Caenorhabditis elegans: one gene and its partners. The protein of the gene in region 2 purifies or fractionates together with the protein of the main gene of each other region. This does not show direct contact. Each region holds a gene or a part of one and is shown on either strand. Other genes may lie near its edges. The genes, in order: fbxa-150, gcy-11 and oac-56.

Region 1 (9,134 bases), on a different chromosome or scaffold from region 2:
ATGCACACAGACGAGTGTTATATCTGGAAAATAAAAAATTTGCGGGCAAGATGAAACAACTAGTTATCAAAGAATTAGGCATGAAGGTAGGCTAGGTAGGCATCGAATTTCAAAATGATACTGCACAAAAAATTTCCAAATATTTTTTATGGTGGGTCGAAATTGCGAAAGAGCCAAACTTTGCTAAAATCTGAAATTATGCCCATTTTTCTTTGTCGCAGCCAATGGAGTTTTGAAAACATTTTAGGCATTTTTTGTGAAGTCTCACTATGAACTTTTGTGATTGTGGACCTGTTTTAGTCTATTTCAACATATAAAAAATACCTGTCAGCAAATCCCATGTTTTTTATAACTTCTCTTTTGAGTTCTTCAGGCAATCTTGGCCAGTATTCGAAGGATTCCATGACGTTATTATTTAGACGGATGAATTGAAAAAAATTTGAGCACGCAGACAAAAAACTGAAAATTATGCCCTTCTACTTCAGTTTCGTGTGTGAGTTATCTCACGCCCTTTTGTTCTCCTAGCAACCTCATCTGTCCAGTGTTGTTTTAATTTCTCAGTTATCTCTGCGTCTTTCATCTAATATATTCATTGAAGTTCGAAAAAGGAGTTGTGTAGTATGTGAAAAAAATAAATAAATTTTTGGATGTTTCAGATGTTTCCTTGACAACCCGTGATGCTTGAGCCCAAAGCTGGAGATGCCTCCTCCTAGTTCCAGTAATTGCAGGAAAGGCATCGGAGAACCTTCGTAGTAGAAAAAATTACAGAGTTCGTCATAACAGAGGCCTCACCAAGAAAGCACCCTTTCTTAGACTAGTCTAGTTCCAAAAATTCCAGTTAAAGTATTTAATTTACAGTAAACTCCCTGTATACACGTGGTGTCCGAGTGTTCCATTTCGGTTTGATCTATTTAGATCTACAAAAATTGCAGGAATTGGGACGCAGAGTTCTCAACTTTCACATGGTGCTTACGTCACATTTTTTTGGGAAAAAATTGCCGCATTTTTTGTAGATCAAATCGTAGTGGGACATCCAGGCATGACATATGTATTCCGGTTAATTTCAGGGTTTGATGATGCCGTTTTTCAATTAGCTCATTTCACTCTTTCCCTCTGAAGCTAGATCCCCAAATAATACCATGGTAACCAAAACGATGATAATATTGGCAACACAAGAATATTGCGCACCTCTGAGTATGTTATACTATGTCCGTAATATCTGCGTCTGGCCAGGGAAACCTATTAATTTGGCCAACATTTTGAAGACTCAGAGACCCATCAGTGCATCGTTGGGCAGCAAAGCAAAGAGCTAATCTGCTGAGTTTGCTTAATGTAGTCATAGAGAATAAGATTTGTTCCTCATAAGATTTTCATTAATTTAAACAAAAATTTGGGAAGCAACCCCCCTTAGCTTTAGGAAAGAAAGACTACTTGAAAAAACTTTTTAATACAATTTGAATCACATTTATTATCAATTAACAGATAAAAAATGAAAAATGAGATCACACATCTTAAAAGGATAAAAAACAAAACATTTAAAATCAAGATCGAAGTGATAAGCCTTGGAACATAATGCGTTTTCCATTTTCTTGAATACTACCATTATACGAATCAATTAGAGTTTCTGAAATCAAGAAAATTACACAGTTGTTAAAATTACCAAGTTGGATTAACTCATGAAATTGATTTAAAAAAGAAGTTATCAAAACGAAAAATCCCTTACCTTCACTCCTAAAACTGCTTTTAAAATCAAAACCTTGAAATAACAGATAAAAATTGATAGCATACACGAAAATCATCAAAACTGCACCGATGTTAACTGACATTTTCCAAATCTCCAACACTTGGCTTCGTTTTAATATATATTCACCACCCTGAGCACTAATAGGACACGCCTACTTTTTCCAATTTCCTTTTCCTAGGTTTGGGGTTACGAAATATATGTAAGTACACTTTATTTTATGTTTGTAGTGAATTCCTAAACAAGTGAGTCACCTGGAAAGAGCCTTATCGGTGATAAGGAAATTGTGATGTGATTTTAATGTCTGGAGTTTTGTCTTGATAAGAAATGATTATTGTTAAGGTGATCAGGAAACACGAATATGATTCATAATTAATAAATATAAATCGCGGAAAAACAGAGTCGTTTTAGAGTTACATAGCAAATAGAGTGTTTACTAATTCTTGAAATTTCTGAATTTGATGGTTTTCTGTGGACCAATACTTTATTTTAAACCTTATCAATGAGCATTTTAGGTATGTTGTGTTTTTTGCCGTTCTTTTTTTTCAAATAAATGCCAGAGAAGCCTGACAGCATAAATCAGCAAAATTAATTAACAAAATTAATTGGAATGCAACGCCAAAAACATTCTCATTTCATTTCAACTTCCCTTTGCTAATTTCACTTGTCGAATGTGTAGCAAAACTCCAATATTATCTGATAAAGACACATATCATGCAAATGCTCTTCACATCCTTACCTCGTTCGAGGTTCCTATTCATATCTTCGGTGCTTATATTATCATAGCAAAGACTCCAAACAATATGAAAAATGTAAGAACGAATATGCTGGTTCTTCACTTGGCGGGTGCCTTATTAGACATTTATATGAGTTGCCTAGAAATTCCAGTATTCCTTTTACCTGCCTGCGCCGTATATCCACTTGGAGTACTAACGATGCTTGGGGTTTCAACTGTTTTTCAAGCCTACGTAGGGGTTTCCCTTATTGGAGGTATGGTTTATTCTGGTTGTGTAAACAGAAAACCATTTTTTAAAAATTAAAATTCAGTGATTGGAATGGCGATTCTTATGTTCTTCGAGGAGCGATATCACAAGTTAATCAGAAATCCAGGTGTAGATAGAAAACGTGGCTGGAAGTACGTTGTATACATTGCTATTCACTATATTATTTCAATAACGTTCATTCTACCTTGCTTTTTAAATATTCCCGATCAAAATCTTGGAAAACTAATGATTATGGAGGTTAGTTTAGTCCTCTAGCATTGAAATCTTTGGACCCAATTAAACAATTAGGTATTGAGTTTCAGACAAATCCCTGCATTCCAGAAGAAAAAATAAATCATCCCGATTTTTTTCTATTAATCACTGAATCTGGTCCGCTCTACTTGAGCCTCGGAATCGCGGCTCTTGTTATTCTCCCACAGGGCGCATTTTTCATCTTAAGTATATTTTGGTATCTTTTCACGCTGAAATCAAAATCGCGAGCCACAACTCGTCTGCAAAAACAGTTGTTCTTCGCAATGTGCTTACAAGTAGCCATTCCAATTTCCGCTATTTGTATTCCAGCCGGTTATTGCGTTGTAGTTGTTGTCGTCGGTTATTACAATCAAGGTAAGCCTCGTAAAGTTTGCAGAGTAATGAAGCCTTTTAGAAGCCAATAATCTTGCTGTATTTACAATGGCACTTCATGGAGGTCTATCAACGTTTGTTATGCTGACCGTGCACGCACCTTATCGAAATGCGACTTTGGAAGTATTTGGAATTAGTTTCAAACGAGTCGTACAGAAACCTAATCAAGTTTGGAACAAATCAGTCAATGAAACAGGAGTAGTACCGTAGTACACAAGTACCCTAGTACCCCAGTACCCCAGTACCCCAGTACCCCAGTACAATAGTCCCCTAGTATCCCATTACCCTAGTACCCTAGTACTCTACATAGTACCCTAGTACCCAAGTACCCTAGTACCCTAGTACCCGTTACGCACATCTTGTGCCTGGTGTCCGACAAGCAGTTAAAAACTATTCTGTGATATAAAATAATTCATTGATAACAATTTGTGCTTATAATTAAAATTTACTAAAATTTCGTTCGAAACGTTTCCCAAATATGATCCCGGCTGCAAATTGATCCAGTCACATCAAATATGCTGATTGAGACAACGAGAATATTGTTGGAGTCCTCTACATCGAAGAACTGCACGTGATAAGTGTAGGCTGGGTAGCTGAAGTAGAAATATTTATATTTAGTTTCAATGGGAAACTATCGAAAATGTTCCTCTAAAACTCACCTCAATTGTAATGCGGCAATTGTAGGAGGCTGATGCTTTGGCTGAACATCGAATTGGCGCAAAACTTGCAAGTGATCAATGATTACAGCAACCTCAATGTTGAAAAACGAGCCAATGGGTAGGTTGGGTCTCGAGCGGAAGTTCTAAAAATTTGATGTGATGACTATGTATGTAGATTGAGAATAAAGTTGGTACAGCACCGAGCGACCCACGATTTAATCTTTATTGTTGTAAAAGAAGTATTAGGCAAGGGTTCAAATTAACTATGGGCTACGGCCTACTTGTTCGGACAAGTGCCTAAATGCGGATCTCTACGTGGACCTGGTAAGGTTTGGACAGCTACCTTCTTGTCTCACCTTGATCACTTTCCAAGCATCTTCCGGTACCAGCTGATGCACTGTGAGCATGTATTTCTCCACGTGGCTCAGCATGGCATAGTCCACTACGACAGTTTGATCTACCCCAGGCGTGTACCCCCTCGGATTCTTCTTGGCGTGAAGATCCAAGGATTTAGCTCTCTTGAAATGATCGGTAATTTTCAGTTTGTCAAAAACCTTCCCACTCAGCGATTTCATTGTGATTTTTTCTAGGTATTCCATTTCGAAGCGGCTTAGGAGCTTTTGAATCCATTTCGACGTAGATTCATTGCAGTCTATTGCGATTTCTCGAGCTTTGATAATAATTTCGGATTTTTCAAGTTCTGAAATCAAAAGTGGCATAATTGAACGATGAGTCGATCGGAATGGGAATTCGAACACAACTCGTTTTGCATTTGAGTTTTTGTTACGGAAAATTCGACAGAAAGTCTCAACTGCCCCGACTCCAACGGCCATCCTAGTTTCTTGATTGAAATTTTTAAGTTTTTTGTTAGGAATATTGTCAATGTCCAGGAAGATATAATATTTCTTATTGGTTGGGTCGGATCCTGAATGAATGTTTTTTTCTCCAAAAATTGTAGAAGGACACGAACCTTCAAGAAAATTGATACTGTTCAAGTTTTCTGGAATTTTGTCAGCCAAAATCATTTCTGTGCGTGAACATTGACGGATGATGCTTCTGGAAATTATTGGTGTTTTTTGGTTTGCACGTTTTTTTGAGAGAGCTCATTCTAAAATTATAGTCTGAAATACAGAAAACATTTTTGAAAATACTTTTTCACTGAAACAAGAGAAACTCTAGTTTTTTTTTTGAAAGAAAATGTTTCGACGGGAACTTCAAATTTTCTAAAAAATGTTTGGCGGGATATTCTATTTTTCAACCAAAAGTTTTCAGATACATAGAAAAAATAAAAATTTTCAAAGGGCTTTCAGAATTTTGTCTAACCTAGACAGTTTCCAAATCAACAAAAATTTGCAAAAACTCCGCTCGACTTTTTTTCAGGACCAAAATGCTCCACCGCAGCTGATTTTTTTTGTTGAGAGTTTATTTTAAAGGTTTTCTTTAAACTTCATTATTAGAACAGTCAGAAAATTTTTTCGTACCTATCTTCAAAATCCAGCTGTTTCAGTACTTCTCTCATAATATCCTCAGGCAATTTTTGCCATTGACTGAATTTTCTGTTTTTGAGATTTTTCTTTTTGCTCATTTTGTCGCATTTTGTGTGCAAAGGTAAATCCGGTTTGTTCTTCATAGCCAATTCTTGAGAATCTGAAATAAAAAGAAAAATATTGAGAAATATTGCAAAATTTGCATTAAAACGAAAGCGATGATTCAATTCAAAAAAACACGTCAATTTTTCAGCAAAAAAAAATGAAAAAAGTCAAAACCATAAAATATTTGTCACATTCGAGGCAGGCAAGGAAAACGAGAGGGTTAGAGAAATAGACAAAAAAGAAAACATATTGCGAAATAATGCAAATGTGAAAAATAATGGTTCTGTATCGTTTTTTTTTTCTTGGCAAGAATTATTGGATTTTATTTTGTACAGCAATTTATTAGAAAATGAGAAATTTCGAAAAATGGCCTGAACTGCCGGAGGACATGAAGTTGGAAGTAATGAAATATTTGACTTTTGGAGAGAGGTTAGTTTAATTTTAAGCATTGGAAAATTAAAATAACTTTCGGAAGAAATTCGATTGCGGTGAGAATTCAAAACTAAAAAACTTAGAATTAAAGTACGTATTTTTAGAAAATTCTGAAAAGTGCTTAAAAAATCTTTCTTGAAAAATTTTGGTTTTTTACCGATTTACTAGAATCATGAGGTAGTTTCAAAAAATTATAACTGGTTCATTTTATATTTTCTGAAAATTGAAAATTCTTCCTGCCACAATTTTCAAAAATGTTTCAATTAAAGTTTTGCACCAAATTTTTTTAGACTCTGAAAATTTAAAACATCACACTAATAGTACGTTTTTTTTTTGAAAAAGTAAAACATTGGGGTTCAATAAATAAGTGAGAAAGGGAGAAAAGTGTGAAAACTTTTAGGCGGTTGGCGATACAAAGAGTGACTGTTGCCACACAGGGCTCACTCGTAACAATACGGGAAAAGGTGAGATGATACATGAGCAGGTGGACTATGGGTAAATGGTAGGACACAACTAGATCAATATGTCAAACCTGTCAAAAATAACTAGTTTATTTTCTGAAAACAATTGTATTACCTGCCAAAATTTTATCACAAAATTTCAATTTTGCACTAAAAAAATTCTAGCAAAAAAATTTCTCACTATCAGAAATTCGGAGTTTCCCAAAATTTGAGTTTCTAAGGTTTTTTGTCCAAAAAAATTTTTTTGACGTCGTAGACTACAAACTACAAAGTTAACAGTTATAATTTACATGCATAGATGCAAAATTCGACAATGCGCAAAAATGGAAATGAGATTAGCAGACAAAATTCCAAATTCGTTTGACTACGTGGAGCTTAAAAAAAGTAGGTTTTATTCTAAAATTTGTGTATTTCTATTTTTCTCCAGAATTGGAAGTCTGCCTACAAATCAATACTATCCCTATAGAAAGTCTCACATTTCACGGAACACGGGCGGTTCACGAACTTTGTCGAATTTTCGAAAATCCAAGCACAACTGCCAAAAAAGTGATTATTTATATGCCTGAAACTCCCGAACAAGTGTTTTCAACTTTAATCTCGGAATTTGAAACTCGAGAAGTAAAAATTAAGGGGAAAGAGATAATGTTTCGAAAAAATGCTGAAAATTCCAGTTGGGCTGCGCAAATTTTGGCACTTTTCAAGGAAGGTTATCTGGAGAAAATCTACGTGGATTGTGTAACCGGTGCCATTTTTGAGAAATTAGTTGAACTGGAGCAATTCAAAATGTGCAAGTACATAAAATTGGAAGCAAGGGTTCTGTCGGAGCAACAACTATTAAAATTCGATTCATCTTTCAAAGTTAACTATGATTTCCTGCAACATGCCGAACGGTTAGAGTTGTCGCTTTGTGATTTGGAGCCCGAGGATGCTTGGGAAATTATAAAGGTTAAAACAGGAGACCACTCAAACCACTCAATAAAATTCTTGAATATTTTCAGAATTTCCGCTCGAGACCACAACTTCCTATTAACTCGTTTTTCAAAATTTTCGTGGATAATTATGTAAAGAGTGGGAAAATTGTTCGCTTGTTTGATGTTCAGCCAAAAAACGAGGAAGAGATTGCAGAAATTACTTGGTGAGGTTTAAACCTTTTTCTTAATTTTTTTCACTTTTTTCGAGATAACTTTCAATTAGCGAAGCTTAAAAGTTATTTTGAGTGTTAAATAAATCTCACTAACCCAATTTTTTGTCAGCTTTGAACACGTTCAACTCTTCGACATGGAAGATCGGAACAAACTTCTGGTGGTTGGTATGTGGCGCCGTGTTCTATATGGATCCATCTGCCGTCGTGATTGTATTTTGAAGGATTTTGACCGTAACCGTTAATTGTACTTCTTTACTAACAACACGTTTTCAAAGTCCTTGCTCAATGTCGGCTGCTGATTTATAGAAATATCCCCATTTCACTCGAGATCAAATTTCATATTTACAAACTATAAACTGACACAAAAAGTTTTTTCTTGTATCAACTTAATTAAACATAGAATATTCGTACATCTATTTTTAAACTGACGACTTTATTGATGAATTTGAGGTGATTCTATGTGAGGTAGACATAGGATCAACAAACACTTGAAACTAATAGCAACCAATAAAAAAGAACAGCTAATTACTGACTCAACAAAATCATCACATAAAAAACTTCAAATCTCGAATGAATTGTGCAACGCCAATCTGAGCTCTTCGATGGTTTTCGGAGTTTTGATGACTTTTCCGCTGATATGCCACGGGGTCAGTCGAACGATCATAATGTGTTCCAGATTGTGTTTGTTGCCTTTCATAAATGGAATGTGAAGAAAAACCTTGTTCGTGTTAGTTTGGACGGTGTCGGTTTTATTCATAAATGGGCTTAAGTCCATTTTTTCAAGAACGTTGATGTTGAACGTGGATGTTAGGAGAGGGGTTTCGTGACGACGAAGCTGAAATTTTCATGGTTTTCTTCATCTTCTTACATTCAGATATACTAATTATATGTTAGGCTAATTTTTTATATCCGTCAATTTTGTGGTTTGTGACCTGTGACATAGCACTAAACGGAAAATGGGCAAATTCTCAGAAGCTCACTACTTTAGTGGATGGACCCTGTCAAGACTCCCGTTTCAACGAGACAGGAGAAAAGTTAGAGTCCCTGGCTATTTTGGCAGTACCCTTATTACTGACTAAACAGTAATTTCTAAAATTCCTAACATTGATTTTTTCCAATACTTACATTAATAATGCACTCAATGAGTTGATAGTCCGCACAATCCAACTGAACTTGTATATTGTCCTGAACGAGCAGTTGCCGAGCAGTTTTTCTTAGACTGTGCACATATACGTTGAGAGCATTCGTGAATTTCCGTTTGTATGTGTTCAAGATCAGTGGAGGGCCTTCATTCGCCTTCTTATATTCGATTTTGAAGAAATCGGACATTTCTCTCAGTTTCAGCTTATCGAAGCAGAAGCTGCGAGTAGTAACAAACAGAAGAATAAAGAAGCTATAAACGCAGACAAGGTACAAATGAGAGGAGGGCTTGACGGTGGCGCCGTGGGCAACAGGAGCCAAAAGGTGCAAGGGTATG
Region 2 (9,723 bases):
GTTGAACTTTGTAACATATCCAAGTAGGGCTGAATAATTATATTTGAAAGTTAAGGTATGTAAGGGGTCTATAGCTGAGAAATATGTATTGTGGACAAAGCACCCAGATGGTGCACTGCAATCTAAATTTTTTAGAAATTGACAAATTCTTCGAGAACGAATGAGACTGAGTGGCTGTATAATTTAAGAATTCATAGAGCGTATGACGAAATGTTTTTTGTATATTTGTTTTATGTTTGTTTCTTTTTTTTGAAGAAACGTTTCGAAAATTTGTGCGAAAGCTCTAAAACTGCCACTTTTTATGAAAATTTTCCGAATTCAAAGTAATCTCTTTAACTATAATAGAAACGTAATCACATGTAACTCCTCTTCCCGACATTGTCTGGACTAATGATTCCGGATCTCTCAGTAGTGATGCTCCGTGAACTTTTACAGTTTCCGAAAGTAACCTTCCCAAGTCATATGCATCAACTATTGATGGGCTCTCGGAATACCAATACGCGTCATCCGACCACTGAAATATATAAATAAACATTAATTTCCGACTCTGGCTCCATGTGATTGCTTCTTCTTTTTTTAAAATCCCTTTAATTTCCGGTCAGTAGTGCTGACTCAGCACCCACCGGATCATTGTTGGCGATTCCCTTTGCTTTTGTATTGCACATCGGAGGGCAGAAGGTCTTTGACGCGTCTCCGTCCACTCGTTTTTGGAATGAAGTCCATTCGTCACTGAAGTCTAAAAGCCAAACAATTAATTCAAAAGGCAATATGATATCACTAGCCTTTGGTATAATGTGGAACGTCTGTGAAGTACATAAATGATCGGTAATACTGACGAATGTCGGCATCGGATATACCGTAGTCGATTGTCTTGAAAATCATGTTACCTTAATCAAAAGTGTTATGAGGCATAGCGAATAGGAGAGGTAATAAAATTTCGGAAGTATTGAGCCTTTAAGCGTCCCGTCGATTTTTCTTTACAACAAACAAAACTGCATTGAGAGTGTGAAAAGGGGATTCGTTACGGTACTGTGAATATACAGTACTGGACTTCAATGAAAACATGGTAAAAGGTTGATGTAACGGCATGAGGCAAAGTAAATTTAAAAGTACGCTAGGGGTTTCGCAAAGGTTACCATGGGGGGTAAAATTATTCGCTCTTAGGGGGAATTCTCGAAAATCACAAATAAGCATTTCAAAATCTCAGAGAGCACAAAAATTTTTAAATGTGTACTGAATAAGAATACGACTTCTAGTAGAACTACAATGGTTTCAGCCTCATGAACCTCATTCCGACCACGTCATAAAGATTGAAGAGGTACCAACTATGCTGGTTGGTAGTTGGTAGTACCAACTTGGTACATCAGCATAGTTGGTACATACAATTTCTACGTCACAACATCTTGACAGTTTTTTCACAGAGTGCCTGTGAGTCTGTAGAGAGAGGTGAGCCTGTAGAGATATACAGACAACATAACTGCCTCTGCGAGAGAGTGTTCTCTGACAGGTGACCTGTACAACAGTTTTGGAGCTGATGAAATCTGATGCAGAAAAATTTGTGTGTCCAGCTGTGGGGAAAATCTGTCAAGATGCTGTGACGTAGAAATTGTATGTACCAACTATGCTAATGTTCCAACTACCAACCAGCATAGTTGGCATCTATTCAATTTTGCCATCTCCAATCTTGCTGACGTTGGTCAGAAAGATTCATGTCACCATTGATTGGACTTGAAGGAGATTTACGGGGCTGAGAAGGAGATTTACGGGGCTGAGATTTACGGGGCTGAGTAGTTCCTTCAGAAGTCATATTCTTATTCAGTACACATTTAAAAAATTGTCCCCTGTTAGACTTTTACAATGCATCTTTTGAGAGTTGTGAGGGTGTCCCCTAATTTTTTGCCCCCTGGGAGCAAGTTCACACAAGCATTTTGGCTTCCTTTTTTTAAATTTAACGCTGAAGTCAAATTGAAAGATATTCAAAACTCAGCAGAAACTCTGAAATGTTGAAACTGAACCTCGATTGACGTTAAAGCCAAAATAGTTTGCCGCGTCCGATTCAATTGATGACATCATAACTACAAAATACTTTCCGGTCTCCAACAATCCCATTGTAGACATTGCATTCATGAAAAAGGTCCCCGATACTGGTAAGTCCAACACAATTACATAAACTAAAAGATATGAAAAAGTAGAACGTTAGTACATGTCACGTCTTACTCCGTGTTTTCATGTACGTCTCCAGAATGACATCGATTACAGATTCCAATCCGGTAAACATCGCACTGGTGATGGTTGACGAAAAACCACCTTTTTTGACAAAGTCTAACTGAAATTAGAGTTTTTTTTAATGGTGAAACATGTGTTACAAAATAATTTAAAAAATTTTTCAGACTTCAAATTTAAAACTGTGGATCAAAATTAGAAATCGATCTTTAGACTATTGTATCGAATTTGCACCGTTTTCTATTATTATGCACTTCGAAAAAATTTAAAAGCACACAAAATCAGATCAATATTTTACCGAGATGCTTTCAGCAGACAACGCATCCAGAAGTTGATCATGATAGGATATATCTGCAGGACCATCTTCCACGAAGTTTATCACTGCCAGGTTATTCCAGCCAACTGACTTCGCAAGCTTGGCAAAAGCTCTGTATTTTCCTCTGAAACTCAATTATTATACAAATCAACTCTGTAACATTTTCGAAAAAGAGGATTTCTTTAAAAGTAATGATATATGACTTCTATAAAAAATTAATGTTGCAATGCTGCTTGTACTTGGAAAAAAAACAACTTGATATTTGGACCACTTTCAAAATAGAAACTTTTTGGCTGTAAATTTTCAGTAACTAAAAATATTTCGGGACGTTCTGGTAATTATTTGAGCACGGCAAACAACTATCTCAAAATAATTGAGATGAAAGTCGTAATAAAAGGAAATTACAATTTTCAATAAATTAATTTAATTTCGGTTTTAATAACGTTAATTTCGGTTTCAAAGGTAATTAAACGTGGATTATAGAAACTGGAATGCATTCCTTAAAAATTGGAGTGTTTCCAGAATTTCGAAAACTTTCGAAGCTACACACTATATAAAAATTATGATTTTCTTTTCTTTTTCATACAGGGCAAAATAGTCTGGGTTCGAAATAACAGCTCAGTTAAACTACAGTCTACGATCTGACGCCTAATTTTTGATTCTGCTCCAAACTTACCCTTGAGTCGACGACATTTGAAGTGCAGTTGATGACGGCATTTGCGATTCTCCAACTTGATCTTCACAATTCTGAATGTTTTGTTGTTGTTTTTTATTTAATTTTATTTCAAGTATCAAATACCACAAGCAAACTTGAAGCATCGTAGGCTTGTGCGAGAGCCGCAATTTCTTTACAATCATTCTCCACTCCGACTACGCCCAACAACCCATCATTCTTTTTTGTATCGGCAAGCATAATGTCCAGCATGCTTCTGCAAAAAAAACACTTGGTGGTTTTTTTGAAGATCATCCTTATGTGATTTTTTTTTATCATTTCATTTTATAAAACGTCGAATTGAATTTCAAAAATTGTTGATCTTGATCAAGTTCCATCTCTTTTCAAATTCGATTAACGTCAACTTGAGGTATATTTTTAGGTACATACAACATAACATTTTTCGTTGATACGTTCTTTCTTCCTGACCCATAAATTGACCAAAGCTTGAATACGTGGCTGCACTCATTTTTTGATTTCTGTTTCCAACCCTTATCATAAATTTCAAAAAGTCTTTGCAAATATCTTGGAGGGGATAATAAGTGGCTGTCTGTTTCTTCTTCTTCTTCTTCAAAAGAGACGTGCCGTGTTCTTCTTCTTCCCTTTTTCTTCTTCATTTCCATTCTATATTGTACAACGAGATGACGTTATTAGACTTTTAGAGATCAAAACATTGCAAAACACGGGTGGGCCACTAGCTGCAATGAAAGAGAAGGGAACTGTCACCACGGAAAACTTTTGCGCGCGCGCGGGAAAAGAAAGATTGCGAGGCGGTGGGTGTGAGTGGAGACAAGAGTGGAGTACGGTAGGAATGAAATCCAGCCGGATGTTGATTTTTATTATATTGATATGATTTTCAATTGAAAGAAGAAATGAGAACAAACTTTACCACAGAACGGTGCAAAAAGATTTAGAGACCTAGGAAAGTTGCAAATTGAGAACCATTTTTTTTTGCTATTTTTGTGGCCGTTTTAGCGTTGAGGCATTAGGTAGCAAAACTTTGTACCAACTGCGCAGCCGACACATCTGGGGTCGCGATGATCGTCTCCCTTACACATTTTTGAACTGGAGTTTATTAGTCAGTGTCCTGACTGCGCTACAGTATGTGTACTATATTTATACTATTCCAATTTTCTGACACTTTTGCTAAATACGAGTAACAAGCCATTGAAAAATGTTCTTCATTTTCTGCCAAATTTTTTTCGAAAAGTCACAAAAAAGCAAAAGATAACTTACTCGCACAAATCTAAACTTTATATCCTTTTACCTCGTTTCTTTGGTACAGTTGTATAAACAAAAATTTCTGGATTACTGTGGAAGTGCAAAGTGGCTCTAACATTCATACAAGTGGCTACACTTATGCTAAAAAAAATTTAGGAGAAAAAGATTTAAAGATTCAAAATTTAAAGAGAAATAAAAGTTGGTTGTTTCAAAACAAGGTTGGTTAAAAAAAAGTAAAACGGAAACCAATCTTTAATTTTTTAGAGAATTTTTTGCATGTATAGGTAATATTCCCTATGTCACTACCATTATAAACAAATGTTGGAAAAAAGGCCCAGCCATCCGAATATTCGCAAAAAACATATGTTCTGGAAACTCACGACATATAATTCCCGTCTTGCCGGCCAATTGAAAAGTTCCCCTGTACTGTTGGATCAAAAAACTCGACCGTAATATCAGAGTTGACAAAAGTACCATTTGTTGTTATTCCGCCGCCATCTTCCAAACCTGAATTCCACTTTTTATAATCACAAATGCACTTTATTGTTGTGTCCCGTACCATAGTAGAACGCGCGTCCAACGTATGTGTCAGGGGTGCAGTAATCCGTTTTGAAGTCAACATTGCACGCATATCTGCCGAAAAAAGTGATGTGATCGGATGACGAAGCTATTGGAACCAATATCCATAATAGGAAGATTTCACGGCATGGCATAGCCAAGCATGGAATGTGGAATGAAGTGAAGGTTTTGAAGGGGGAAGGTGTGGGCTGGCATACTGTGGTAATCCCGCAATTTCCTGTTGCAAAAATTCCCGGAAATTTGATTTTGATCTACTTTTGTTTTAATTATATTCAATTCTTCATCAAACTCTATCTATCCACAATTTCCGGTACCCCCTGAGTCATGAGTTTTTACCAACGTCAGCAAATATCACATTTTCAGAGAGAAAAAGCAACTGTTGTGATGTGATGGAAATGTTTCTTTTTCTCTTCTTCTGTCTTTTTTTCCAATTTTTCTTTCAATCGTCACCTCAATAAAAGCATCTTGAAACATTTTTTCTATCAAAAATCCAATGTATTTGAAAAAAGAACTTGATTTGAATTTGTAGGTTCTCTGATGAAGCTTTTTCTTCTCCCAATAGTAAGAGATGATTTATTTTACGAGGTGCGGTCAAAAAGTGTAAAACGAGTGACCCTTTATTTATATCAGGCGGAAAATAAAAGAAGACCGATAGATCGAAGACTGGAGAGAATTCAAAAATAAAGAAGATGGCGAAGAAGAAAAAGGAAAAGAACGTGATTGGGGAGTTTTTAGGAGTTATAAAATTTTACTGCCTATGTTTTACTGCGAGAGGGTTCACTAAACAGTTCACTATCAGCTGATAAGTCTGAAAACGTACACGGTTTTTTAATTGCCAGTGGTTTTTTCTGATAAGGTTACAGTTGGAAAGTGCACGTTTTGGTAATTTGAGTCGTGAACTTTAAAGTAGAAACTATAAATACTAAAAACATTGTTTACAAAAAACATTTCTGAAGACTTCTGAAGAAACGTGACATCACTGAAAATATGATGTCTTAAAAACTAGCTTGATCTTTAAAATTAAAGTAAATAATTTGTTTATAAGCATTTGTTGTTCACCGACCATGAATCCAAATCAACCCTACAGTACTCCATACCATGTACGTCTCACTTGATAAACGTAGACGGCACTTGGCATGTGGAATGAGAGTGGTCTTACGCGAACCTCGATCGGCGTCGGCTGCGCTATTTTCATTTCTTTTGAAATTTTGACGTTCAAACTACAAAGTTTAAAAAAATGTGCAGGATATTTTAAGACATAATAGACTTTCAAAAAATGAAATCACATTGATCAAATTTGTGAGTCACGTCATACTGGTTATGACGTCATGATATATCTGGAAAATGAGCGTTCCGCTTGATGAACGCAGACGACATATGATTGGTCAATTGCGAACCTCAACTGATGTTGGCCTCAGCTCACTTGTTTGCCGGGAAGTTCGCTGCGCAAAGCCCCAATATTTTTTAATACTTTTCAAAATCAATAGCAGTATAAAACCAAACTAAAAATCAAAACGTTCATATATTGATATACTTTGCAAAACAAATCGTAATATATTCAAATAGTGACCAGTGAAGAGACAAATCTTCGAAGTGATGGCATCAAATCAGGAATCAATCGAGGGACGAAAAGACACAGGAAAGGGTTTTTGGATGGGGATACACCAGTGTGAAAACGGAAATTGGAGGGACCAAGTGCCTACTGCGACCAATGTACATACATTTGATTGGAATTAAAATTATTATAACTTTAGATGTAGCTGTTTTAGCGTGTCATTGGGAATTGTTCGCTTTAAAATTGAATTTTCAGCTTCTAATCTGCAAAGCATTAAAATTATTTTACAAGACCATGAGGGTTCAAGCTCACCGTCTAACATGATTTTCCAGATCGAAAATTTTTCCTCTCAAGCCATCCACTTCCTCGCGAACGGCAAACATCAGATGAGTTTTGACTAGGTCCTTAAAAGACACAGACAATTATAACATTATGTCATCTGATATAATTCATATAATACTTGTGATAATCACATTTGGAACAAGAAAGCCTTCTATTTCTGTCTCCCCCCCATAAATACACACTCATTTGGTTTTTGGCCTTTATTGTTCGTCGGTGACTTCTAATGATGCTACCACTAATTCGAGGTACCAGTACCAGAAATTCTTATCATCTCGCGCACGTAAAGTTAACGTTTGCAAGAAGTGTGTAGCTCGGTGGTTTTTAAAAAGGCAAGACCTTGAAACCAGGTTCAAATCAGTGAACAACAATAAATTGAACTTGAACTCCATGTGACTATAAATCTAATTAATTTTGTACACGGAAATAATAATAATGGATACTGCACGCAAATCACGTACTGTGTGATAGCGGAGAAAGTGGTAGGGGTGCAAAAAATTTGAAGCCACCGCCTGGAAATTAGGGGTACACTAAATTAATCGAAATATATTCAACCTAGTAACCTGCTTTAAAAACTGAAAATCTTGATAGAAATTTTTAGAAAATATTCTTTAAATATTTTAAGGGGTTCACTTTTTTTTTAGCTAAACTTTTCCAGAATTGCCAACTTTTCGGTACGAAAACGACAGGATTTTTTTGTAAGATTAGCTTTTTTATTTCGGTCTTTTTTCTCCCAATTTTCTAAACTCGCTAAATATTTGTTATCTACATAACAATATTCCTATGTTTTTATGAGATATGAGCCGACAAAGTGTAATACATTTTTTGCAAAGCTTTTGTGATTTTTTTCAATTAAGACATCACTTACCATTGCTTGCTCGATCTTGTTATCAATATTGAGCACATTGTGAGCAGGCGGGCTGGCAGCGACACTGTAACATGAGCCGGATGAGGATGATGGAGAGCATCCCCGTGAAATTCCATAATGGGGCGAATATGTTGGGACATGGTTCACAGCGCATTCAACAACCGCACAATGCCACATGGTTAGTAAAACTGGGTGGTGGTAGAAGTAACAAATAATAACAATAATAACAGTGATACACAAAAGGTTGAGGTGAAGAAAGTATAGTAAGTTTGGACCGCTTTTATGTGGTCGACTGATAGCTGGTCTCGAGTTCGAAACAAACAGACACACGATATAGGAGGGGAGGGAGAGAAAGGCGGGAGGAGGAGGGGAGGCAAAGAGACACTAAAAGTCAGCAGCCACTTTTTCTGATCAGGTGGAGGCGTGGCTTGGCGAGCTGCCAACGAACGGTGGCTGTGATGAGATGGTGGGAAAGAGAGGAATTGGGGGAGGAGTGAGAAAACGTTTGGTGTAGGCGTGCGGATTTTTTAAAAGGATGGCTTATAAATTTCTTTATAGGTTTTTCGAACTATCACTTCGATTCTTGAATATTATCGAAAATTGTCTGAAAAGTGGGCTTGCAAACTAGGAATTTTCTGATGTGGCTTTTAATTTTAGATTCAAGGCCACTCACATATTTTGACTGAAATACTTTTAAAAAAATCATAGGAACATATAAAGAAGGAAAAGTGATTGAAGGTTAAAAATGCTGTCAAATATTAGGAAAATTAATTACCCTAAACATTTTTGCAAATTTTCTTACATAGAGTTGGGTAAAGTTTTCAAAATGTCAACAGGATAGTTTTTTCTATAAAATGTTGCTAGTAGCACGTTCTAAGATATTCCAAAACAAAAGTTTCTTTCGAAAATAATTTGAATTTTCAAAGTCCAGTTCTTTCTCTCTACCTCTCACGAACCTGGCAACTCATTAATTTTTTTTTTGTGTTTCAAAGAAAAAAGAAAAAAGGTAACCTACACAGTTTTTGCTCTAACAAGGGGTGCTCTGAAACTGACGTTAGTAGTGAAAGTGAACCGGGAAAATTTGGGTTATACCAACAAAAACACAATAAAGAACACAACAATCAACAAAAAAAACCTTTTCGTCCTGCGTGATTGGTTCGCTTCGGCGACCATCACTCCAGTGCTGATTTGGGTTTCAGAACTCACTTTGACTGAAATTTTTGATATTTTATGATTTACAAAAAAATGTACTACTGGTTTTATTACCTTTAAAGTTTTTCGAAATTTGAATTCTCGCTCAAGTGTTCGATTTTCAATAATTTTTTTTTGTTGTTTTTTAAACAATTTTTGAAGATTACTCTTAAATATTTTCATCATTAAAGATACTCCTTTTTTGAAGAACTGGTGTCAACAATTATTACTCTTATGTATGATTCATTTGGCGGGTTACTGTAGCAACTACGTACCTTGTCCATTGACCGTTGGTTGGATGATCGTCGACGCTTTGACTTGTGCCGTTGGCGCCACCTGAGACAGTAAATAATTGGTTATTTTTAGTTATTGACATTCTGATATGTATCTAGAATCTATTTTAGTGATTTTTTTTTGTCTTAGTTCACTTCCCTAAAGTGATATTTTGACCGGCTATCTAAGCAGACACTTTTGATCAGAAAGGAATTCACCCATTTATCATGTGGCCACCTTCACGCAGTGTCCCCCACTTCCTAAAAGTGTATTATTTCAGTTTTTGAAAATTTAGTTACATGAGCGTGCACTTAAAATAAGAGTTTAGGAGGAATGAAAATCTGCTCTAACCTTTGAAAAATTGAAATAAAAATGGATAGAAATAAAAATGTTTGTGTAGTTATGAAGATGAACAAAACAAAATCAAACTTTCAATAATTTTCCAA
Region 3 (12,459 bases), on a different chromosome or scaffold from region 2:
TAAAATATTATTGTTATTAAAACATAAAGAGAAGATGCAATAGAACTGAAATTGAACAATTGAGAAAAATGAAACAAACTTGAAAAGTAATCATAATATCTGAACAGAAACAGAAAACTTCCCAACTCTGAAAAAATTAAAAATTGTACATTTGTTTCATAGTTTTAAACTGATTCTGAAAATATTTTCATCATTTCAACAACTCAAAAATCTCATGGAAATGGTCCAATTTTTGTCGCTATTTGGATTTAAATCATCACTTTGTATAAATTTTTGCAAGGAGGAGCCGGAAGAACTGGAAGTTCAATTTGAAAAATTAAAAAATTTCAGACTGTTTCGCATTCTTCATGAATATCTGAAAAAGTTGAATGTATTGATACAAAGGTTCCTAGAAGAATACGAATTAAATCACTGCGCTAACAAAAACAAACTGTTTCACGTGGATTATTCCTTGTTCAACAATTTTTCTAACCAATATGTTCGATTTTTTATTTCAAAACTATCTGTTAAACAAATTTTCAAAATGTTTTAACGCGTTTTGTAAGCTGTTTTCGGCTTGACTCGTTTTAGGTATGTTTTGGTAATTGTCAAATGGAAAATTATGTGAAAAACATAAAACTATAAAATGACGTTAAAAATTCAGAAAACATCTTTTTTCTTTGAAGGTCCATTATAGTTTACTAAATACTGTTTCACATTTATAATTTAAGCGTTGAATACTTTTTCAAATTATTAGATTGATTTTTTTATCATCAACACCGAAATTGATTTTAAAATTAATTTTAAATATTGTTTCAAAACTTGCGGAAATTTTATTCAAAATTTAGGTTTTGTTTTAAACATTCCCTGTAGAAAAGCACGACATTTATTAAAATTTTCTTTTTTTAGCTGATATAAAATTACAGCCTTCTCAAACACAAAGTTTTAGCAACTATAAAGGTATACTGAAACAAAACTATTTTTCAGAAACCACACTTAAAACATAAATGAAAAATTAAGTTGTTGTTATAAATTTGTAATTTGTAAACTGCTTATTTTATTTTTTCTTGCATTTTTTGTAGCCTGGAATTTATGTTTTTAAAATTTAAAAAGTCAACATCTACCAGACTAACTTAAATACGCATTCGGAGTAAAAAAATTGTCTTAGCATCAATTTGGGCAATAGTTTATTTTGAATTCGATATTTTCATTGCATTAGCTTTCAGAAAATATATCATTCAACCCATAACTCTCTTGTGACCAAAAAAGAGTCCCTAGTAAGACGACTAATAACAATCTTGGACGATTAATGTTAAAAAAGGAAACAGTATCTGTAATTTAAAAAAATTATTTCAGTTACTCGAATCAATTATTTTTTCCCGAGTGAAAAAACGAGTGAAAAAAATCAAGAGATCAAATATTAAGTCATATCTGTAGAAAAGCGGAACAAACTTGAACAGTAATCATGATACTATCTGAACAGAAACAGAAAACTTCACAAAAAAAAATTAAAAATTGAACATTTGTTTCATTGTTTTAAACTAATTCTGAAAATATTTTTATCATTTCAGCCACTTAAAAATCACAAGGAAATGCTCCAATTATTGTCGGTATTTAGATTAAAATCATCGCTTTGTATACATTTTTGCAAGGAGGAGCCGGAAGATCTGAAAGTTTAATTTGAAAAATTTAAGAATTTCAGACTGTTTCACATTCTTCATGAATACCTGAAAAAGTTGAATATGTCGATAACGATACAGCCTTACATGTATTATTATTGACTTTTGAATTTTTCTAAAATAATATCGATAAAATTACTGCGCGAGCAAAAAAAATCTGTTTCACGTAGATTATGTATTGTTCAACATATTTTCTAACTAATTTCTTTGAATTTGTATTTGCGAAACTATTAAACAAATTTTCGAAGTTAAAAATCTTGAAAAAAAATTTTATAACCGTTTATAAATCTGTTTGGTTATTATCATATTTTGCTAAAAAAAAATTTCAATTTATTGTTTAGGCATTGAATATTTTTTTCAAACTAATGTTGATTTTCTATCTTCAACACAATCTTGGAAGATTAATGTTAAAAAAGGATGTTGAAATTGTCAATATTGTTTGAAAACTTGAGGAAGTTTTATTCAAATTTTAGGTTTTATTTTACAAATCCCGTGTGGAAAAACACGATTTTTTTTTCTGAAACTCTACAATTTATTAATTTTTTTTCTTTTCTCGCAGATAATAGCTACATTTTACACGCTTTTACTACGTTTTTACAACGATGAAGGTCTAAGGTCTACTAAAACAAAACCATTTTTCAGATAAAAAACTGAAAACATAGATGAAACATCAAATAGATAAATTTGTAATATTTAAAATGTACATTTATTTTTTCTCTTTTATTTTTTGTAGCCCATAATTCTTATTTTTTAAGTTAGAAAACTTTTTAAAAAACTCCAGCAAGAATGAAGAATAACAATCTTGGTAGATAATGTCTAAAAAAATTTTTGTTGAAGCAGCATCTGTAATTTAAAAAAACCATTCCAATTACTCGAATAACTTATTTTTCCCGAGGGAAAAAATAATCAAGATTGGAAAGATTTCCGCGCATCAAGTATTTTCCTAATACAAAGAAAGTTCATATGATCAATTTGGCAAAACCATAAAACAGGAAGCAGGAAAAATCCGGTATTATGACCTGAATAGAGTGGCTAAACTACACACACACGAGAAGAAGAATACCGTTCATTTGCGTACACAATTTTCTCGATGATCATTCGTTGTGAAATAAAATTTTTATTGGAAAAATATTTATTCAATTTTCAAGCTGAAAAAAATGAAAGAAAAATTTTAAAACTATATGATTTTGTTAACAATCGTGTTTTTTTCTTTAAAACCACTGAAAAATTGTTTTAACGAATAAAAACTGGAAATTTTCACCATGTTTCTGTATTTTTTGTATTTTCACAGAAATTAACTGATCATATAAGTAACCAGTGAAGAATATAAAACCGGTTTTTACTGGATCCTAATCTAAATCCTATGGATGTAGTGAATAACTTTTTACTTTTTATTGCAATGTAATGAACATTTTTACATGTTTGCAAAGAAACCGAAAAAAAAGGTCTTTTGTCAACCTTTTCTATAATTTGTTTTGCTAATTTTGAAACATTTTTTTCATTTTTTCACAGTTTCATGTTATTGGTTTGTTAATAGTAAGACTAATTCCGTCATTCGGACCAGGGCTGTGCGGCTGGCTGATATTTTCGGCTGTCGGCTGAGAACAATTTATCAGTCGGCTGTCGGCTGGTGCTACCAGCCGAAAATCCCAAAATTTTCGGCTGTCGGCTGGCGCCGCCAGCCGGCTGGTGTTTTTGGTTAAGTATTGCAAAAAAGTTTCGAAGTTATTTAGTATACTTTTAGTACAAAAACATACTATAGCAAAATATTTCATCATTTTATTCATCAAAAAACCAAATTTTCTTATTTTTTCCACTTGTAGAACTTGCATCTAGTGTCAAAATATGTCAAAATGTCAGTTAATTTTTTTTCAAAACGCCAGCCGAAAACTCTAATTTGGGGGTCGGCTGGCGCAGCCACCCGACCTTTCACTATCAGTCGGCTGTCGGCTGGCTGCGTCAGCCGACAGCCGCACAGCCCTGATTTGGACTTTAACTTTTTTCAAAAAATTTAATGTTTCACCAATCCGTGATATTTTTGTAACAATTAAATATGTTTGTTTTTTTGGTTTTTTCACGACTAGTTATTTTCAATAGGAAAATTTTAAAAACTTCCTTTCAGAATGTTCTCTCTTCATAATTTTGAAATTACCTTCATTTTTAAATAATTTTAAAACTAGATATTTTATAAAATTATAGTTCTGGATGATTTTATACTACTTTGAAACTTTTAAGGATGTGTTTTTCAATCCTGACCTCCTTAGAAATTGTGTTCTTTTTTGATTGAATTTCTTGAGTTTTGTTGGTTTAGACGTTTTGTTTACAATTAAAAAAAAATTGAGAGCCGTGCACATTTTGCATTTAACAGAATTTTGCCATGTCGAGACCATGTACCATATTTTTGGCGCAAATTTTTTGCATCTAGGTTATTAGCGATTTCTTTGTTTTAATTTTAATTATTTTTAATCAAGAAAATACAAGTGTAAAGGCGCAGAACCCAAATCTGAATCTTTCCTTTTTCCGATCCAAAAATGACAATATTTACCGAATTAAAACTTAAAAATATATAACAATTTTAGCAACTATGTGAAACATAACTTTTTTCAAATTTTCCTCTTTACCATAAATTTCAATTCAATTTATTCCAGATTTTACCACAATGCGAGAAGACATCCAATGCCTTCGTGGTATTGCTATAATCTTTGTTTTACTATTTCACTTGAACCCTAACCTATTTGTTAATGGATTTCTCGGTGTTGATATGTAAGCCCTGAAACTATTTTTAATTTTTGAAATCAATATTTATTTTTCTTTTTTAGATTTTTTGTGATATCTGGTTTTCTGATGGCTAAAAATTTAACAAAGGCAAAATTAGTGAAAATTCATGATTTTCTGCTGTTTTACTATATGAGGTTAAGTTGACAGCATTTGTGGTGACTAATGTAAATCCAAATTTTTATAGATTCCGTAGGATTCTACCAATGTATTTTCTGGCGGTTTTCCTGATTGTTGTAATGACACAGTTGTGTCTTGGAGATTTTTTGTGGAAGAATAATAATCGATATGCGTTGGCATCGCTGTTCATGGTGACGAATCAGCTGATTATTCATGATCAGGCAGATTATTTTAATGAGGTAAGAGAAGAAAATTCAGATTTATTATGGGAAGTGTGTAGTTTTGTTCACTTTTTCTGTTATATTCACTTTTAAAATTATTCTTTCCTAAAAAATGAAATTTCAAAATTTTCGGGCATTCAACCCGAATGCTTTATTCATTTTGCTTTTAATATTCATCACTTCTGTGGAACAGTAACTTTTTTATCCAATATTTAAAACAATTTTTAAGCTAAATGTAGCAAAAAATTATACAGCAACTTAGTTTTTTATAAGTTTATCGTGTATTTTACCCACTTTATATGTTATATTCACTTTTCCAAATTATTCTTTCGCAAAAAAATGAATTTTCAAAAATTGTGCAAACTATACCCCTTGTGAGTTCAATTCTACCACAATTTTTTTTTACAAAAAGTGTCCATTCCTTCCATTTACTGCAATTTGATAATCCAATATTTAAAACAATTTTCAAGGTAAAAGGATTTTGGAAAAAACTTAAAATTTTGTTATGAGAGTTTTCATAATGGTTTTAAAAACAGCTCCAATTAAACGACATTCTAATATTTTTCAAGTTTTGGAAATGGTGAAAATATGAATCATTTAAGTATAGCGTGTATAACTTTTCATGTAATGATTTCATTCTAATAATTTCCTTAATAGATTTTAAATATATCGAACAACTTTTCTTACAAACTTGAAACAGTGTTTAAAATTTTATTCACAATGGTCAGAAGCGGCTAAAATAGTTACACATCTTCTCTATTTTCAACAAGTTTTGTACTGAAAGTATATTAAAAAAGATACAATTATGAAAATTTATCGAAATAGTTTTTTAACTTGATATTCAATTATTTAGTCTTTGGCAAAAGGACATTAGATTTGTCTATAAATGGCAGGAACTCTGATAATTTTTTTTTAGCTATTTAAATTGATTAATGATTCAGAAAAATGTTAAGCAAACTTTCAAATTTATTTGAAACAACATTTGAAAACTTTTCAACTTTCCTCGAGTTGAAATTATGCCACAAATTATTATAAAATCATTGTTAAACTCTCTATAAAAAAGTTGAATACAATACGTTGAATGCTCTCTGTTGGTAATTGGTTTTAAATGACAGAATAGAAACCGTAATTTTTTTTTCTAAAAATTTCAAAATTATTTTGCAAATTTATTTTCTGATTTGGCCTATTTTCTGGTGTTTGTTTTTAAAATGAACCCATTTTAATGGTTTTTTTTTTAATATTGAAAATAATAATTTCTAAAAGTTTAGTCAGAAAAAGTGTTCAAAACTTTATTTTGCCGCAAACCCCGCTGGAAATTGTCAAAATATCCAATTTTCCAGTTTTTTGCCGCCACGTCTTCAATAAACGGGTTCCTTCATCTATGGTCCCTCTCCTTGGAAATGCAATTTTATCTTTTTGTTCCAATTATATTTTTTGGACTACAATTTCTGAAAAATGACTATCTGAAGGTAACTCGTCTTTAACAAATTTTTAATTTTTTTAAAATTTTTTAATGTTTCAGCTAGCGACTGTCTTGATAATTTCAGTTTTCGGTTTCATTGGTTTTGCCCTGATCTTGGACAAATTCGCGTTCAACTTCATGTTCCTCAGATTGTGGCAGTTTTCTGTAGGATTTTCTGCTCTTTTTTGGAGCAAGATTCAAGAAAATGGAACACCTAGTAAAACTGAGAAGCCTAGCACTTTCACATGTCCATTGACTAAAAATGACCTGGTTACTGTATCCTTGTCAGCGCTAGCACTTTGTCTATCAACTATGGAGATTAAAGTTTTAGTTCTAAGACCACTGGTTACTGTAGCAACTGCTGTGATAATTGCATGTGAATCGAAAAATTTTCAGGTAAGTTTATAGCATAATATTTAACTGAATTTAAAACAGAAATTTCAGTTTCTAAAATCCCCGACACTCGGGTATATTGGGGATATTTCATATGTATTGTACCTGGTTCATTGGCCAGTTATTTCAATTTTCTTGATTTCAAACGCCAGAAGTTATATTTTCTGTATCAGTGAGTTGGGATTTATTTATTGAAAAAATAATATGTAATCTACCGTTTCAACAAACTGTGAAGTAATGAATATTTTCAAAAGTATTCAGTTATGTTAAGATCCATGATTCCTAAATAATTCCGATTTTTCGTCAGTATACTAGACTACAGTCTCGTTGTGAAAATGAAATTTTAGAAAAGTGTGACGTCACACTCGGACTTGATTCAGAAATTTTTTAACCAGCTGAGGAAACTGTTTAAAGAAAAATTTTCTTAAAGTTTAAAGCCCAAAATTTAAATTTCACAAGATTTCACGATAATACAACTTTTAGAAAATTTCGCCGTTTCATAATGTTAATTTGAAAAACTTGTAGTAATCAAATTTAAATGGCATTTATTATCGGTTTCTTGAAAATTGGCAATAGAGTTTTAGTTTTAGTTTTTTAAAGGTTTTTTTTTGACATTTGAAGTATTTAACTGTTTCATGTTGGTTGTTTAAAGATAGTTAATGTTTTTAGAATAGTCATCCTCGAATCAAATGTTAAAAACTTTGATTTTTTTTCAGAATTGCTCTCCATCTGAAAGTTTAAGTTTCACGCATTTGAAAAAACTAATTTATTTTTAAATTTAAACTCTCTTCTCAACTGACTATTTTATTCTCAAACATGTACCCTTTTCCCAAAAATAATATAAGATTTCAATTACTCAATAGATTTATTCTATTCAATTATACTTTCAGTGATCATATTCATTTCATCAATTCTTCTCCATCATCTTTTCGAGAAACAATACCTGAAATTGGACATGAAAGGAGTTTTTCCATTAATTTTCCTACTAATCGCAAGTAATGCATATTTTCAATATAGTGTCAGAAATGACACATTTTGGATGAACAATTTCACACCGGAAACTCGAGAAATTATCGACAAAAACCTGGTTTTGTATACTTCGCTTTGGGATTTGGAGCCAAAAAAGGATAAGTGTATCGAAAATGACATTGATGTGCCTTTTCCGAAAAATGATCTCAAAGGTTATTGTAGATTTGCGGTGAGTAAAAGTTAAGAGAAATCAGAAAACTTTTTACTTTCTGTTTCTCGATTTTTGATGAATTTCGGAAACAGTAATTTTTTGAAAAAATATTTTTTAAAAGTTACATCTAGGATTTCATTTTAAGCCAGGAAAAGGCAATTTATCAGTCATGATGATTGGAAATAGCTATGTGCTTAACTTCAGCGAGCACATCCGAGCTCATTTTAACTACAACTATTCAGATTATCGATATATGTCAGTTATTGGTGAGTTATAGATCTTATTCTGGTATTCTTATATTGAGAAACATTTTCAGCCAGTTACGGGCTTTTTTCGGACCACCGTTTGCTTTCTCAGCAGGCTTTGGAATTTTCAAAGAAACAAGTGGAATTGCACAAGCCCGACGTGCTTTTCATAGTGGCAAGGTAATACTTATTTCATTTAGTAACATAAACTTTCAAAATTTTATTGTGAAAAATTATATAAATTAAGAAATGCTATTTTTTTTTGCTTAATTCTGTACATAAAATATATGACAAATATTTTAGTATTGGAAAGTTTTTTTTATCAACATTGTGAAACATCAAGTTTTTTTTTCAAGTAAAAAAGGAATTTGTCATTTTACTTTAGAAACAATGTCTCAATGAGCCTGCACTCAATAATTGTTTTATTTTAACGAACATTCATTTTAGTTAATTGATCTGGAATTTTTCAGATATATGAATAACATAAAAAATCCTGTTCAAAAGGATGATAAGATTGTGCAACAAATTAATGAAACAATTGCACATTATGAAAAGTTAGTTATAAAAAATCCTGTTTCAAAACAGAAAAAAAAATATTTTAGATACGTGAAAAAACTATACATCCTGGACGCATTCCCAGAGTTTCATGAAAACTTTTTGAACTTATTCCTGCACTACGCTGTAACTAGGCCAGATGACATGGATGCTCTGCATTTGAGTAAAAAGTTGGCGGACGACGAAAAGAGACCGGTGGTGAAGAGATTCAGGCAGATAAAATGCAAGAAATGCCACGTGGGTTTTTAATTGTTTGTTTTTTTTAATTATATGAATAATTTATAACAGAAAATAAAAAGTTTCAAATTTTAATTTTATTGGCGTATACAGGATGTGATGAAATTTAAGAAAAATCTAATTTTGTAATTCTTGGATTTAAAAAATTAAAATTTGAACTTTTCAGTAAAACTTTTTTGGTTTCCAAGTTTACTGAGTTTTAGCAACGAACACTGAATAAAACAACTTCACAAAACAGTTTCAATTGAAATAATTAATATTTAATTCTTATAAGCTTAAGCTTTGGTCCCTAGTTTAACAATCCGATTTTATAATCAAAAAAATCATGAAGTCAATGGGAAACTGTACGGGAACTTGAACGTAATTGCGTCAAAAATATGTTGTTGTCTTCAAATTTGGAAAAACAAGTCAATTTTCAGTTCTGAACAGTGTACTTTCCATAGATTTTGAAATAAAATTATGAAAAGTTATAAAAACTTCAACTCGAAAAAGTTTTGTTTTTAACTCAGATTTTCACTATTTCATATCCTTCATAAATTTCTGAAAGTTTTAATGTAAACGTTACTTTTCGTATTTATCTTTAATATTTCCAATTCCAGTTCTTCGATCTCAGTCCCATGTTCCTGGAAGATGACAAGTACCTGACATTCGATAAAGACACAATGTTGGCTTACGTGGATAATTCCGTACATCTCACAGGCCCTGGGGTGAAAGTCTGTGAGCCTGTCTTCAAGAAAATTGTCACGGAAATTATGGATAGTTTTTAAGATAATTGTCTGAGTATGATGATTTTATTATTGAAATAAATTAATTTATTGATAACCTTGCAAATTGTCTAAAGAGTGAAAAGATAATTAATAATTTAATTTTGGACTCATTTATGTGACTTGATGAGCAATATTATTAACAATATGACAAAAGTTAGCCGTAAATCGATTTTTAAAATGTTATTGCAATATGACAACACAGTGAAACAGACTTCGATAGAAAAATATAATAAAACATAATAAAAATGCTGTTTCAAACTTATTTTAAAATTTAGAACTTACTAGAAATGTATTTATGTGTTGAGAAATAACAAAAAAAATGTTGAAGATTTTTTGAGTTCAATTTTTTTCAAAGAGGTATTGTGTGAAAAATTTTCAGTTTCATGTTCATGATAGAAAAGATTAAAAAGTTTTCAGAACGTTGAGAGCACATTTTAGAAAAAAAAGTCAAAACGTTTTTTCTCAAATGAGTTTTTTTTTTAAGTCTGATAAGTGTGATTTTTTGAGAAAACTTATTTTAAATTCAAATGCAATATTTGGCAAATAAGAAAATTGAAACCAGTTTGTATTACCAAAAATCAGTTTGAGATCATATGGATTATTAGGTCAACAAAAACAAAATGTTTTTGAAAACATTGTCAAACAGCAAGAAATAACTTTTTTCCAATTCCAGTTGTAAACTATTTTGGAGGTTCAAATTTCGATGGGTTTCAAATTTTCAAACTTAATTTTTAGGTTTGACATATTCAAGAAATCAGTAGTTTTTCCTTTCACATTTAAAATTCTGAATGTAGAAAAACAATATTGTACTTTTGAAGTTCTAAATTGAACTGCTTGGCTCTTTGTGAAAATATATAAAAGGTTATATCTCGGTTCATTTGTAAGATATCAATAAATTATTAACTGCAAATGTATAGAAGGCGAACTAACAAAGATTTTGTCAGTTTAAATTTTTTTTTATCAGACAAACAAAAGAAATATAATCTGTAAAAGTCAACGAAAAAGTAGAGACTCAATATGCCGCTCTGAAGAATTCTTTTCAGCCATGTCGGGGAATACTGTGTTTAAGTTTTCTTATATTTGAAAAAAAACACTGTTCCAATTAAGTTTGCATATCCAATTCGGCTAGCTTACGCATCGAACTAACATTTATCAAGCATGTTTCATAAACTTAGTGAAACAGCGAGCAAAGACTATTTTCAATTCATGCAAAAAAAATAGCTCGGCGATCCAAACTTCGATCATTTTCTGATGGTTGTTTTTTTATATCTGCCGAATATGTCTGGCAGGCTCAAGAACTTCGTATCGTACTATACCGTATCAAATTAAAATTTAAATTCACATTTCAGGTCAAACCGAAATGAAAATAAAATACTTTTTTACATTTTTTGAATCAAAGGAAATATGATTTATTTCAAAGACAAAACAGTTCAGCAAATCGAATTGTGTTTTTTCGTGCCTTAAAATCCAAAATCTCATAATTTCCAACACGACATAACTATTTTGAACATACTGTCCGTTGTTGAGAAGAGGGATAATCCTATGAAATGATGATGATGGCGAGGAGATGAAAATTCGGCCAAAAAACGAAACTTTCAAACATTTCAACTAAAAATGCCACTGTATCCAACTTCAATTTTTATTTTATTTTCTGGAATTTTATTAATTTCAAATGCCCAAGAAGCTGCAATATTGCCAATCGATGTGGCTTCTCCGAGTTCAACAGGTAATTTCGAAACCTTCAGAATAAGATATATTCTAGTTTCACAACGATTTATTATAACTTTGAAACAGCAATTTTTTAATTATAATCTTCTGAAAGTTTAGTTTAAAAAATTTTTTAAATTCTTCTTAAGTCAAAGCATTATTGAAACCAAATATTTTGTCTTAAAAATCGTTTCTGAAACAGAAATAAATAATTCTCAGAATCCCCACTAATTGAAACCATGACTGACACCCCTGCTTTTCTAAAATCTGCCACGGATAGTCAACGGAAAGAATACATTGAGTTGGAGGGAAACCCCAATTTGACAATGGATATGAAGCAGAAGGCGTTGAAAAATTGGGCACAGAGATGCGGAGATCCTGTTAATGTTTGAAAATGCTGGAAAAAAGAAAGAAAATTTACGGTTTCAGGGACTTTTCACAATGTACATGGCTGAGAAGCTGACATTGCAGTCACAAGAGGATTCACGAATGGCTGTGATTATTGGACAGTTGTCGCCTGAAGCACAACAAGCGGACACTAAAGTTAGAGGTAAAAATCCTTTTGTTAGGCGTAATCAAAATTTGAACCTTGTCAAAGCACAGTCGTACTGGATACTTATATAGTACCTGTAGTTATTGGCATGGTGAAACAGGATTTTTTTTTTGTAATTCAACGAGAAAACAGTTACAAATTGATTAGAATTATTATTAAACTCATTTTTTATGGGAATAAAGTAACTGTCAGAATTAACAAATCAAAGTTTTAAAATCCTTATGTGAAGCAGTAGAAAACTTTGGGAACATGATTCAAATGATAGTAAATTTGTGTGAGAGAGTCTTAAATTGAGTTGGCCTCGATTTTGTCGGCTGCTAATTTTCAAAGCGTTATTATTACAGCAATCACCACAAACATGAATCAGACCAAAAAAGAAATGGACACAAATGTGGCGAAGCAGTTGAACAAACTCCCAAAAAAAGTCTACTATGAGCTCACTTTTGCAACTCAATAATTTTTTTTTGGGATGTTGATTTTGTTTTTCCTGGGAAGTAATAAATTGTGATTTTTTTAAGGTTTCAAAATTAAGCAGCAGACGTTTTAGGGGTGAGAAACGAAGCAGGTTTTCATTGCTCATAGCTCA

Evidence for each region.
Region 1: the proteins of gcy-11 (region 2) and fbxa-150 fractionate together in Caenorhabditis elegans (co-fractionation; one large-scale study listed by BioGRID). This does not show direct contact.
Region 3: the proteins of gcy-11 (region 2) and oac-56 fractionate together in Caenorhabditis elegans (co-fractionation; one large-scale study listed by BioGRID). This does not show direct contact.

What each region holds. Positions count from the first base shown.
Region 1 is NC_003283.11:20,519,145-20,528,278, reverse strand, and holds fbxa-150 (F-box domain-containing protein), read right to left. Parts: upstream 5,682-9,134; 5' UTR 5,659-5,681; coding exon 5,510-5,658; intron 5,085-5,509; coding exon 4,999-5,084; intron 4,954-4,998; coding exon 4,385-4,953; intron 4,172-4,384; coding exon 4,029-4,171; intron 3,963-4,028; coding exon 3,818-3,962; 3' UTR 3,767-3,817; downstream 1-3,766. Other genes in the region: Y38H6C.13 (F-box domain-containing protein), read right to left, coding at 1-23, 325-404; Y38H6C.24 (Transposase), read right to left, coding at 1,542-1,624, 1,724-1,826; srh-166 (Serpentine Receptor, class H), read left to right, coding at 2,413-2,731, 2,789-2,982, 3,048-3,351, 3,392-3,579; Y38H6C.9 (DUF38 domain-containing protein), read left to right, coding at 6,009-6,049, 6,812-6,897, 6,941-7,458, 7,512-7,648, 7,767-7,899; Y38H6C.25 (FTH domain-containing protein), read right to left, coding at 8,217-8,492, 8,783-8,986.
Region 2 is NC_003284.9:17,050,370-17,060,092, forward strand, and holds the start of gcy-11 (Receptor-type guanylate cyclase gcy-11), read right to left. Parts: upstream 5,213-9,723; 5' UTR 5,186-5,212; coding exon 5,032-5,185; intron 4,980-5,031; coding exon 4,853-4,979; intron 3,469-4,852; coding exon 3,339-3,468; intron 3,287-3,338; coding exon 3,216-3,286; intron 2,664-3,215; coding exon 2,522-2,663; intron 2,327-2,521; coding exon 2,218-2,326; intron 2,172-2,217; coding exon 2,016-2,171; intron 888-2,015; coding exon 783-887; intron 737-782; coding exon 624-736; intron 515-623; coding exon 358-514; intron 30-357; coding exon 1-29. Other genes in the region: C30G4.4 (TSC22 domain family protein 1-like), read right to left, coding at 6,794-6,869, 6,919-7,010, 7,814-7,877, 8,829-8,855, 8,949-9,024, 9,280-9,340.
Region 3 is NC_003282.8:14,342,589-14,355,047, reverse strand, and holds oac-56 (Acyltransferase), read left to right. Parts: upstream 1-4,296; 5' UTR 4,297-4,317; coding exon 4,318-4,421; intron 4,422-4,477; coding exon 4,478-4,570; intron 4,571-4,599; exon of another isoform or gene 4,600-4,620; coding exon 4,621-4,792; intron 4,793-5,288; exon of another isoform or gene 5,289-5,309; intron 5,310-5,406; exon of another isoform or gene 5,407-5,427; intron 5,428-5,530; exon of another isoform or gene 5,531-5,551; intron 5,552-5,685; exon of another isoform or gene 5,686-5,706; intron 5,707-5,834; exon of another isoform or gene 5,835-5,855; intron 5,856-6,114; coding exon 6,115-6,243; intron 6,244-6,296; coding exon 6,297-6,632; intron 6,633-6,680; coding exon 6,681-6,801; intron 6,802-6,839; exon of another isoform or gene 6,840-6,860; intron 6,861-6,890; exon of another isoform or gene 6,891-6,911; intron 6,912-7,303; exon of another isoform or gene 7,304-7,324; intron 7,325-7,519; coding exon 7,520-7,827; intron 7,828-7,834; exon of another isoform or gene 7,835-7,856; intron 7,857-7,954; coding exon 7,955-8,075; intron 8,076-8,125; coding exon 8,126-8,234; intron 8,235-8,327; exon of another isoform or gene 8,328-8,348; and 13 more. Other genes in the region: srlf-28 (SXP/RAL-2 family protein Ani s 5-like cation-binding domain-containing protein), read left to right, coding at 11,228-11,339, 11,540-11,706, 11,750-11,870, 12,218-12,330.